2 linked regions of the Arabidopsis thaliana genome follow. The protein of the gene in region 1 binds, or shares a complex with, the protein of each later gene. Each region holds a gene or a part of one and is shown on either strand. Other genes may lie near its edges. A codon is read from its position in the direction of its gene.

Region 1 (3,644 bases):
GAAAACCTTCCTTTAGAATTAGAATATATATACTACTATAGTTTCATGCATTGTATATAACTGTCTGAGCAATTATAATCAAGGAAGGAGTGGGGGACAAGCTTTCAAAGAACATATTAAAAACCAAAGACACAGAACATAAATTAAACTATTAAGAAGGGGGACAGCTTTGTCATAGCAATTTATAGAATTTTTTAGGGAAGTGTGACAATTTGACCCATTATATTGTCTGACTAGTATTAATTTTGTTCGTTTCAAGTAAACTCGCCAGGGCAATCAAGGTTTCTGTCTAATTTCTCGTTTACATACACATTAGCATCGTTTTAACTACAATCGAAATTTAGTTGACAAAAAGGTACGTAGTAGTATCCACTTAATTGGAAATTTCTTCTTTTCAAATTTGAAGATTAATTAAGGGACGTACGTCTCAAAGTAAAATAAAAATAAAAATAAACTATACTCCTTCTAACCTACCGTTATCGTTCGACTCTTTTAATTTTAGCTTATATCTTGAACCAACATTTAATAAGATTATATGAACAATTCACAAAAGAAAATCCAAAATTTTGCTTAGGAAGAAATTGAAGAAACATTTAAAACATTAATCGATGCATATAGAGTTTTTAAGCATATACATTAGAGTTAACCCAAGAAAGTTCACCTAATTAATAGACTTAGCCAATCATACACTACCACATCAACAACTTTTAATCTAAGACTGTTGATGTATTAGTGTTTGATCAGCTTTGAAAATAACAAAACATAAACGAATACTAAAATAACAAAAGCAGAAAACACATCAAAAACAGTGTCCATCTATAAAGTCCATCATGTTGGTGAGTGTGCTAAGCTCAAACTCATCCTCATGAACCCAAAGTGAACTCAAGTAGTTACTTCCTTGATGATCTTCTTGAATTTCATCTCCGAGGATATTATTGTTATCGACAATATTCGAGATTTTCGTTTCTTCTGATGTTTCGGTAGGATTCGGGAGATTGATTTGATAAACAATATCACCATTGCTCTGTTTGGTTTTCTGATCTTTGATTCCGAGTTTCTTACTAAGATGCGTGTTCCAATAGTTCTTCACTTGATTATCCGTTCGACCCGGCACTCTTTTAGCAATTAAAGACCACCTAATTAAACACACAGATAAACAATATAATTATCATGTGAAATATAATGTATTGAAATTTTGAGAATAAAAACATGTGTTACCAAGCAAGTTTGTGAAGACAATCACGAATATTTATGATTATTTAACTTGATACAAAATGGATAGAAATAGCTGTTTTTATGATTAATTGAGTAGAGAAACTAATTTTGAGCAAATGAAGTTATACCTATTACCAAGCAACTTGTGGAGCCTAATGATAAGATCCTCTTCTTGCTCGGTGAAATTGCCTCTTTTCACATTAGGGCTGAGATAATTCATCCACCTCAATCTACAACTCTTTCCACATCTCTTTAAACCTAACACACATATACAATTATTTAACTGAGGACCTTAATTCATAAAAATAAAAACAACAAAAAGGTGACCCTAGATAAATATCCTGATTCAAGTTGCTTTTGCGATATATGGACTCTATTAACATAGATTAAAAGTTAAATCTAAAATAACATATATAATATATAGAACCTTAACTTTAAACCATTCGTAAAAGAAAATCATGTGACAAAGAATTCATAAATTATGTCAATACGATTAGAGAGAGAGATAGAGAGGAAAGAGACCAGTCTTTTTGGCAATACGATTCCAGTGACCTTTGCCATGAGCTTTGACATAATCCATGAGGATTTTGTCTTCTTCTACTGTCCACAAACCTTTCTTGTACTCATTGTTTCCTTCGTCACCACTACTACTTACTTTCTTTCTCATTCTTTTTGTTTCTTTGAATGATAGACGAGAGAGATCATAAAACGAGAGAGATAAAGAGGTTCTTTTGAGTAGTTATTTGACGGAGTTATTAATAGTAGTACTACAAGTTCAGAACCTAGTGGAATATTTATGTATAAAGTATGAATAATATTTAATAAACGATATACTATTGGTATAAATACAAGTATTAATGATTATAGACTTATTTTAGATATTGACATAAGGTATTGATTGTGTCTAGCATGTGATGATGATATGTAAATAATAATGGACTTCTGAGATGCAAGCTGGTAATTACTGATACGGATTAGTTTAATGACTTAATCTAGATTTCTAACTAAAACATGAAAACATGGACCGGTTAAGATGGTCTTGGGAGACACAAAAATCACGTGTATGTTTTAAAAAGATTCGGCTTTGATCTTAGAGCTTTTCGGCATCGAAGTTTCATGTGTCAGGGCTAGTGTTTATATATCTTCTTGAACCTTGATTAATTGAAATGAATCATAAGTATTTTTCTTTTTTAAGAGATATTAGACCGAAAATATCAGGGACACCATTATAGTTAAACTTATGAAACCCAAAGTGTTTTGAGACCATTGCAAAAGACTAGATACACATCGCAAATATAAAGGAGGTTGTGAAGGTTCTTGCCGCAACCCATTGGAAGGTGAGAAGGATAGTAACTGGCTGGCTCTCATAGTTCCATCAAATTTTTTATGTATTGTTTCTCAACTAACCATTAATTATAATAGTGTTGTTATTTTCATCAAGTAATAGTAGTTGTTCGTTTTGAAGTTTAGATACTTTATTTATGAGATACCAAGTTTATATGACATCCTTTATCAGAAAATACATTGATTAGAAAATGAAATGCCTCGTCATTTTTTATAATTATTTTGTAGAGTGATACCCTTGGACCAACGTCCGGGAATCTTGGATTAAACGATTTCCTAGAGTTAATTTTGTAAATTTGGTTACTAATTAAAAAAAGAAAAATGTACAATAAGTAATTGATTAGTGGCATGAGAGTTAGGAATTGTAGTTAGGGGAGATATTCAATTAGAAGATGGTTTGACACTTTGACTCTCTTGGGATTAGGATTCTTCACGGGGAAAAAAAAACAGTGTTATTGTTAGAAAGAAAGAGAGAATAGAAGCTCCTTCTCTTATCATTAAAATTTCTTGATCTCTGTGCCCCCACCAAATATCTTTAATTTACGTATAGATACTATTACTATTGATTATTGAATTTATAATCACGTATATTGTTCATATTTTTTTTCTGTCACATAGCATGTGCGATGGATATTTGAAATTTCCAATCTGTGTTGTAAGCAAATATTAACTTTGTTTGAAAAAAAAGAATTTATTTTGTTGATATTTTTGCTATTGTACATCTTGTTTTGCTGACTTATTTATTCAAGATTAACAAAATGATTTTCTTTTCAGTAATTGACTATATCAGTAATCTTATCAGCAATATGACAAACAATAATAATAAGATCCATAATTAATATTTTGCATCCATAACTAAGAATTAGAGTTTTCTGCATACAAAATTCGAATGATCTATTTGGGCATATCACATATCCAATGATACTTGTACATGGTTTTTTTAAAAAAAATATTTCTTCCTAATGAAAGAAAAACAGAGGCAATGATATTTTGATATAGCTGGCACATTTAAAATTCTAGACATATTAAACTCTTAACGCTGGAAGTTGAGGCAATATATAAGAGGGGTAGTAATTTTATATACA
Region 2 (5,998 bases), on another chromosome or scaffold:
TTAGATATTATAATGAAAGATTTATTAGTTGTGTACTAGCTAATGGTTAATATGTCATATGTGTAACAAAATGAGGTGTATATTTAGTTTGTTTTTTTGTTTTTTTGTTTTTTGTCCAATGCATTAGAAGTACTGTCCAGAATTGTAGTATTTCACTACATTTTTATAGTCAAATTATATATATTAAGCAAAAGTCAAAATGACCCTTTTTGAGCTGAGAGCCGGAGACTATAGGCTACAGAATCTAATGTTTGCGTGTGTTCACGATGACCACAGTGTAACTAGATGACATATCTTTTAGGAAAGTAACGAAAAAAATAATCAGCAAAGAAAAACTATTTAAGAAATTACTGAAAACACAGACGTTCACGTTGATATAAATGTACAAATCTTCATTTATCAGGTTATTATGTTTTATGAATCATACAGTTAGTACATGAAATAAACAATATCTGACTCCGTTTTTCAACGTACAGACACGACAAGTAGTCCTAGTTAGGGGTGATAATTTTGGGAGATGCGAAGAATTAATTAAGAGCATGCACATAGCATATGATAATAATGACTCTTGGTTTCTTCTTTATTAATCATCTCATTTAAATATCATTTTCTCGTGATTTTGATCAACATAGGTTGTTACATAGCTAAACCCATTATCAATCCCTTACCTTAGAATTGAAGTCAAGGAAGAATACTAAACCTTACATTATCTTTAGATCCCAAATTCACTCGTTCTTGATAACCTTATTGTCTAACTCCATATATAATTGGCTCGTGTACGCATCTTTAATACAAATAATTTACGAGGTTGCGATTAATTAAAATGAAGGTGCATAGAAAATTAATTAGCAATTATACAAATGTTCTATGGTATTTCCGAAGATTCGAAAACAATGTAGAATATATATATTCAATGAACATAGTATATATTATATTTTAGTTAAACCATACAACGTAATTTAGTCAATACTAGAAGCTTGTCTCTCTCTCCAGGGTATCTCCTCGAGGCATAACATTAATTTCATGTCTTTCTTCGTGTTTCACCATTAGGATTTGTTCTATCTTAAAATCAAGTTAATATTTGTGTATATATTTGACCAGTAAGGCAGTAACATATAAACATTGCTTATAAGGGTGGCAAATTGGTTTGGTTGGATTTGTAAGTGTTATGCCTATGAATTTTTTTTTTGGTTCAAACTCTGCTTAAAGTCTAAAGACCTATATTATGAGTTACTAAAAAAAGTTATTTCCTCCGTTTCAAAATATAAGATGTTTTAAATAAAAATATAAAAATTAAAAAATCAAAATATAAGATGTTTTAATTAAAAATATAAAAATTAAAAAATATTTTTTAAAAAATTCAGCAGATTATAAAAGCTGATGCATAATATAAATATGTATACAATATTAAATTAATCTATAATTTACATAAAAACTTGAAAATATTTTATATTGTGAAACAAACAAATTTCTTCAGAACATCGTTTATCATGAAACGTAGAGAATAGGACATATCATTGATAGAAAAAAGATTTTAGAGATGGAAAAATAACTAATTTCTCTTAACAAAAATAAATTTCCAAAAGGAGAGTGGTGCTTGGAACACCGTATTCAAAAGGGTTATACACTAGACACTACTTTTTTTTTTTTTTACCATCTTGTTTTATATATATTTATTTAAAATTCCTCGTAAAGTTCAGTGTTTTGTGATTATATACAGTGTACACACACCTAAAATAAGTATCCATAAAGAGATTTGGTCATTCGGACACCGTCCTTTTCTCTCAACTCAAAGCTCAATTCAACCACAACAGATAGTAACTTGAAAGTCACAAATATTTAATATTTTCCCATTATAGAAGGTTAAAAAAAATAAATATATTCTGGGTTTTGTTGTCTTCTTCTTTCTTCCTCAGGAAACCAAACCAATGTCATGTAAAAATCACTAACTCATGACTAGTCATAACCTTTAAATCACTTCTGCTTTTTTTCTGTTTCTCTTTTGATTTATTCAAAGACAACAAAGTTTTGTTTTTGACAAAAAATCTGATCTTTGTTTGTTCGTTTGTTTGTTACATGGGGATGAAGAAACAATGGCAACCGGAGAAAACAGAACGGTGCCGGACAATCTAAAGAAACAGCTCGCAGTTTCAGTTCGAAACATTCAATGGAGTTATGGAATCTTCTGGTCTGTCTCTGCTTCTCAACCAGGGTACAATCTCGTAATCTTTATCCTTCAAATTAACTTTTCTTGAAAATAAAGTTTTGTTTGAGACATTCTTGACTTTAGTCCAAAACTCAGATAAAACTTTATCCTTACTTCAAGATTTCGATTTTTGTTATGTTTTCTCGATTAATCCAATTTTTCTTGGCTATCTTTTTTGTTTTCTCTAAACGAAGAGTGTTGGAGTGGGGAGATGGATATTACAATGGAGACATAAAGACAAGGAAGACGATTCAAGCAGCAGAAGTCAAAATTGACCAGTTAGGTCTTGAGAGAAGTGAGCAGCTTAGAGAGCTTTATGAATCTCTCTCCCTCGCTGAATCCTCAGCTTCCGGTAGCTCTCAGGTCACTAGACGAGCTTCCGCCGCCGCTCTCTCACCGGAGGACCTCACCGACACCGAGTGGTACTACTTAGTATGCATGTCTTTCGTCTTCAACATCGGTGAAGGGTAATTCCGTCTCTTCCTCATAATCCTTTCATTTCACCTTTTTTAAAAACAAAAACCTATCTTTCAGAAAAATTTCTTTTATGAAGAATATCGTTTTTAAATTATAGTATTATTTTATTCGTAGACATTATAAGAAAATGTAAACGATACCAAAATTCTAAAAAAAAAGTATAAGGGTATGTTTTATTTTGTCTCATAAAAAAAGACAAGAACACCCTTTATTAGCTTGTCTCCTTCATTTCTTCTTCCATGTGAGCTTATTCAGAAATCCGACATGTACGAGTTTAATTATTAACAATGCAATTATCCTTTATATTTACTTAATTTTTTTTATGTTTGTAGGTTTTTTTAAAGTATACCTCTTTTTAATCTTAGAAGACATACATAGATAGAAATGCGAAAGCACAACGGAAATAAGTTTTTACTTCATTTGCATAATTGCATTATACATTTGCTATTCAAAGAAAGTAGTAGAAAACTTTTGTTCCCATTAAGATAAAGATTTTGAGATACAAAACATAAAGGGTATTTCCGTCTTTCTAATGTAGAATCCCCGGAGGAGCGTTATCCAATGGAGAACCAATATGGCTTTGTAACGCTGAAACCGCCGATAGCAAAGTCTTCACTCGTTCTCTTCTAGCTAAAGTAAGTTTTTTGCAATTGGAAACGCTAACGCTAGAATTCAAGAACGCTATAACTGAAAACGCTCTTTTTTTTTTTTTTTTTCGTTTGGCGTTTTGCTCTTTAAAGAGTGCTTCGCTTCAGACAGTGGTTTGCTTCCCGTTTCTTGGAGGAGTCCTTGAGATTGGCACGACCGAACATGTAAGCCTATATTTCCTATTTTTTTTCCAACACTATCAAAACATTCTTAAAAGTACCCAAAACTTATCTTTTGTTCTTTTAGATTAAAGAGGACATGAACGTGATACAAAGTGTTAAGACGTTGTTCCTTGAAGCTCCTCCATATACTACAATATCGACAAGATCAGACTATCAAGAAATTTTTGATCCCTTAAGTGACGATAAATACACTCCGGTGTTTATAACCGAAGCTTTTCCAACAACTTCTACTAGCGGGTTTGAGCAAGAACCTGAGGATCATGATTCGTTCATCAACGATGGTGGTGCGTCTCAGGTACAAAGCTGGCAGTTTGTGGGTGAAGAAATCAGTAACTGCATTCACCAATCGTTAAATTCAAGCGATTGCGTTTCCCAAACGTTTGTTGGAACAACCGGGAGACTTGCTTGCGATCCAAGGAAGAGTAGGATTCAACGGTTAGGTCAGATTCAAGAACAGAGTAACCATGTAAATATGGACGACGATGTTCATTACCAAGGCGTGATATCGACGATTTTCAAAACAACGCATCAGCTAATACTCGGACCGCAGTTTCAGAACTTCGATAAGCGGTCTAGCTTCACAAGGTGGAAGCGATCATCATCTGTGAAAACATTGGGAGAGAAATCGCAGAAGATGATAAAGAAGATACTCTTCGAGGTTCCTTTGATGAACAAGAAAGAAGAGTTGTTACCGGACACACCAGAGGAAACCGGGAACCATGCCTTGTCCGAGAAGAAACGCCGCGAGAAATTGAATGAACGGTTTATGACATTGAGATCAATCATTCCCTCAATTAGTAAGGTAACCGATTCTAGCAAATCTGTTTCAGTAACGTTTTATGTTTATTTCTTGATAATAGGAAGACATGTTTAAATATAATGCTCTGAAGGAACTAAGCTTGAGTCTCTTGCTGATTCTACAGATTGATAAAGTGTCGATTCTTGATGATACAATTGAGTATCTTCAAGATTTACAGAAACGGGTTCAAGAGTTGGAATCTTGTAGAGAATCTGCTGATACAGAGACACGGATAACGATGATGAAGAGGAAGAAACCGGATGATGAGGAGGAAAGAGCATCAGCGAATTGTATGAACAGCAAAAGGAAGGGGAGTGATGTGAATGTAGGAGAAGATGAACCAGCTGATATCGGTTATGCTGGTCTAACGGATAACTTAAGGATCAGTTCATTAGGTAACGAGGTGGTTATTGAGCTTAGATGCGCTTGGAGAGAAGGGATATTGCTTGAGATAATGGATGTGATTAGTGATCTCAACTTGGATTCTCACTCGGTTCAGTCGTCAACCGGAGACGGTTTACTCTGCTTAACTGTCAATTGCAAGGTACAGTCATTAAACCAAGCTTGATTTATGTTACTCAACCGGAATATGAGCAAACCGAAATGTGATATGTAATGTTTAATGTTGATTGCAGCATAAAGGGACAAAAATAGCAACAACAGGAATGATCCAAGAGGCACTTCAAAGGGTTGCATGGATATGTTAAGGATTCAAGGTTTAGATTTGACAAAATTAGCTTTTTCTCTGGTTTGGTTTCCCAATTTTCGGTAATCAGTGATTCTAACCGAGTTTTTGTGATTTTGAAGTTTTGGAAGATCCTTAAGAATTCTTGAAAAATCGTTCCTTTTGGCTCATTACGTAGGAGAAGACAATAAGAAATTACTTACTTAGCAATTAGCATACTATGAAATTCAATTATGCGAAATATGAAAACCACTCGTAGTAGTTCGTGCACTATCATTTTTAAAAGTAAGTAAACTAGAACTTTTTTTTTGTTGTTGAAAGTAACTTTTGTATAAGTATTTGTAACGAGATCATATTTTGTGACTAGTTCAAGTTCGACCAAAAACATTATAGTAAAATCTAAAGAGATACTACATAGCCCGATTCCAGTATCTTAAGTCTTCAATCTCACTTCAAATATTCTTTATATGTTTTTAGAAAAGTTATGTAAGAAATTAAAAAAATATTTTTAGAAAAGTTAAAGATAGAAATGGTGGTCAAAAGCTGATAAAAGTGTTCGCAAAATACACTGCCTTATAGAGAAAAGAAGTAATGTCATTTCAAATAATTGCATCTAACGCCACTGAGATCTCACTTCAACATGTGTTACCATTTTAACATTAACTTTTTATTTCAAAAAGAAAGGAAGAAAATTGTAAGCACAAGGACTATACTGTATTTGGATTTCGTTTGGTAGCATCAAAGTAACACTCTCATTTTAGTAAGAGGTTAACTTTATTGAAAATACACATAATGTGGGGTTAGAAATTGTGTTGAACAATTTCTTGATTTAGAACGAAACTTAAAAAGAGTGGAAATTCTTTAATGGGTTGGTTGGCATGGTAGGTGGCCATTAAGAAGATCCATGAATTGGTGAAGTTGAGGTTTATATCATGTATTAGCCTCGGTATATAGTGTGTAAACCTTGATATTTAGTATGTAGAAGTATGACTATAGCTTGT

Evidence for each region. Proteins that work in one complex are often made in the same cells at the same time.
Region 2: the proteins of MYB66 (region 1) and EGL3 are in contact, whole or in part, in a crystal structure (PDB 7FDL), measured with the Arabidopsis thaliana proteins. Residues at the interface, in NP_196979.1 of Arabidopsis thaliana: Gln77 (codon at 1,390), Glu78 (codon at 1,387), Leu81 (codon at 1,378), Arg84 (codon at 1,369), Lys87 (codon at 1,360), Leu88 (codon at 1,357); in NP_001185302.1 of Arabidopsis thaliana: Tyr81 (codon at 2,522), Leu84 (codon at 2,531), Ser85 (codon at 2,534), Val120 (codon at 2,639), Ser123 (codon at 2,648), Phe124 (codon at 2,651), Ser153 (codon at 3,286), Leu160 (codon at 3,307), Leu161 (codon at 3,310).

Annotation. Positions count from the first base shown.
Region 1 is NC_003076.8:4,762,857-4,766,500, forward strand, and holds MYB66 (myb domain protein 66), read right to left. Parts: upstream 1,968-3,644; 5' UTR 1,883-1,967; coding exon 1,738-1,882; exon of another isoform or gene 1,474-1,737; coding exon 1,344-1,473; intron 1,137-1,343; coding exon 800-1,136; 3' UTR 516-799; downstream 1-515.
Region 2 is NC_003070.9:23,597,716-23,603,713, forward strand, and holds EGL3 (basic helix-loop-helix (bHLH) DNA-binding superfamily protein), read left to right. Parts: upstream 1-1,697; 5' UTR 1,698-1,935; exon of another isoform or gene 1,936-2,088; 5' UTR 2,089-2,093; coding exon 2,094-2,212; intron 2,213-2,400; coding exon 2,401-2,673; intron 2,674-3,221; coding exon 3,222-3,318; intron 3,319-3,423; coding exon 3,424-3,495; intron 3,496-3,577; coding exon 3,578-4,315; intron 4,316-4,436; coding exon 4,437-4,856; intron 4,857-4,947; coding exon 4,948-5,019; 3' UTR 5,020-5,449; downstream 5,450-5,998. UniProt on the Arabidopsis thaliana protein: Transcription activator, when associated with MYB75/PAP1, MYB90/PAP2 or TT2. Involved in epidermal cell fate specification. Negatively regulates stomata formation but promotes trichome formation.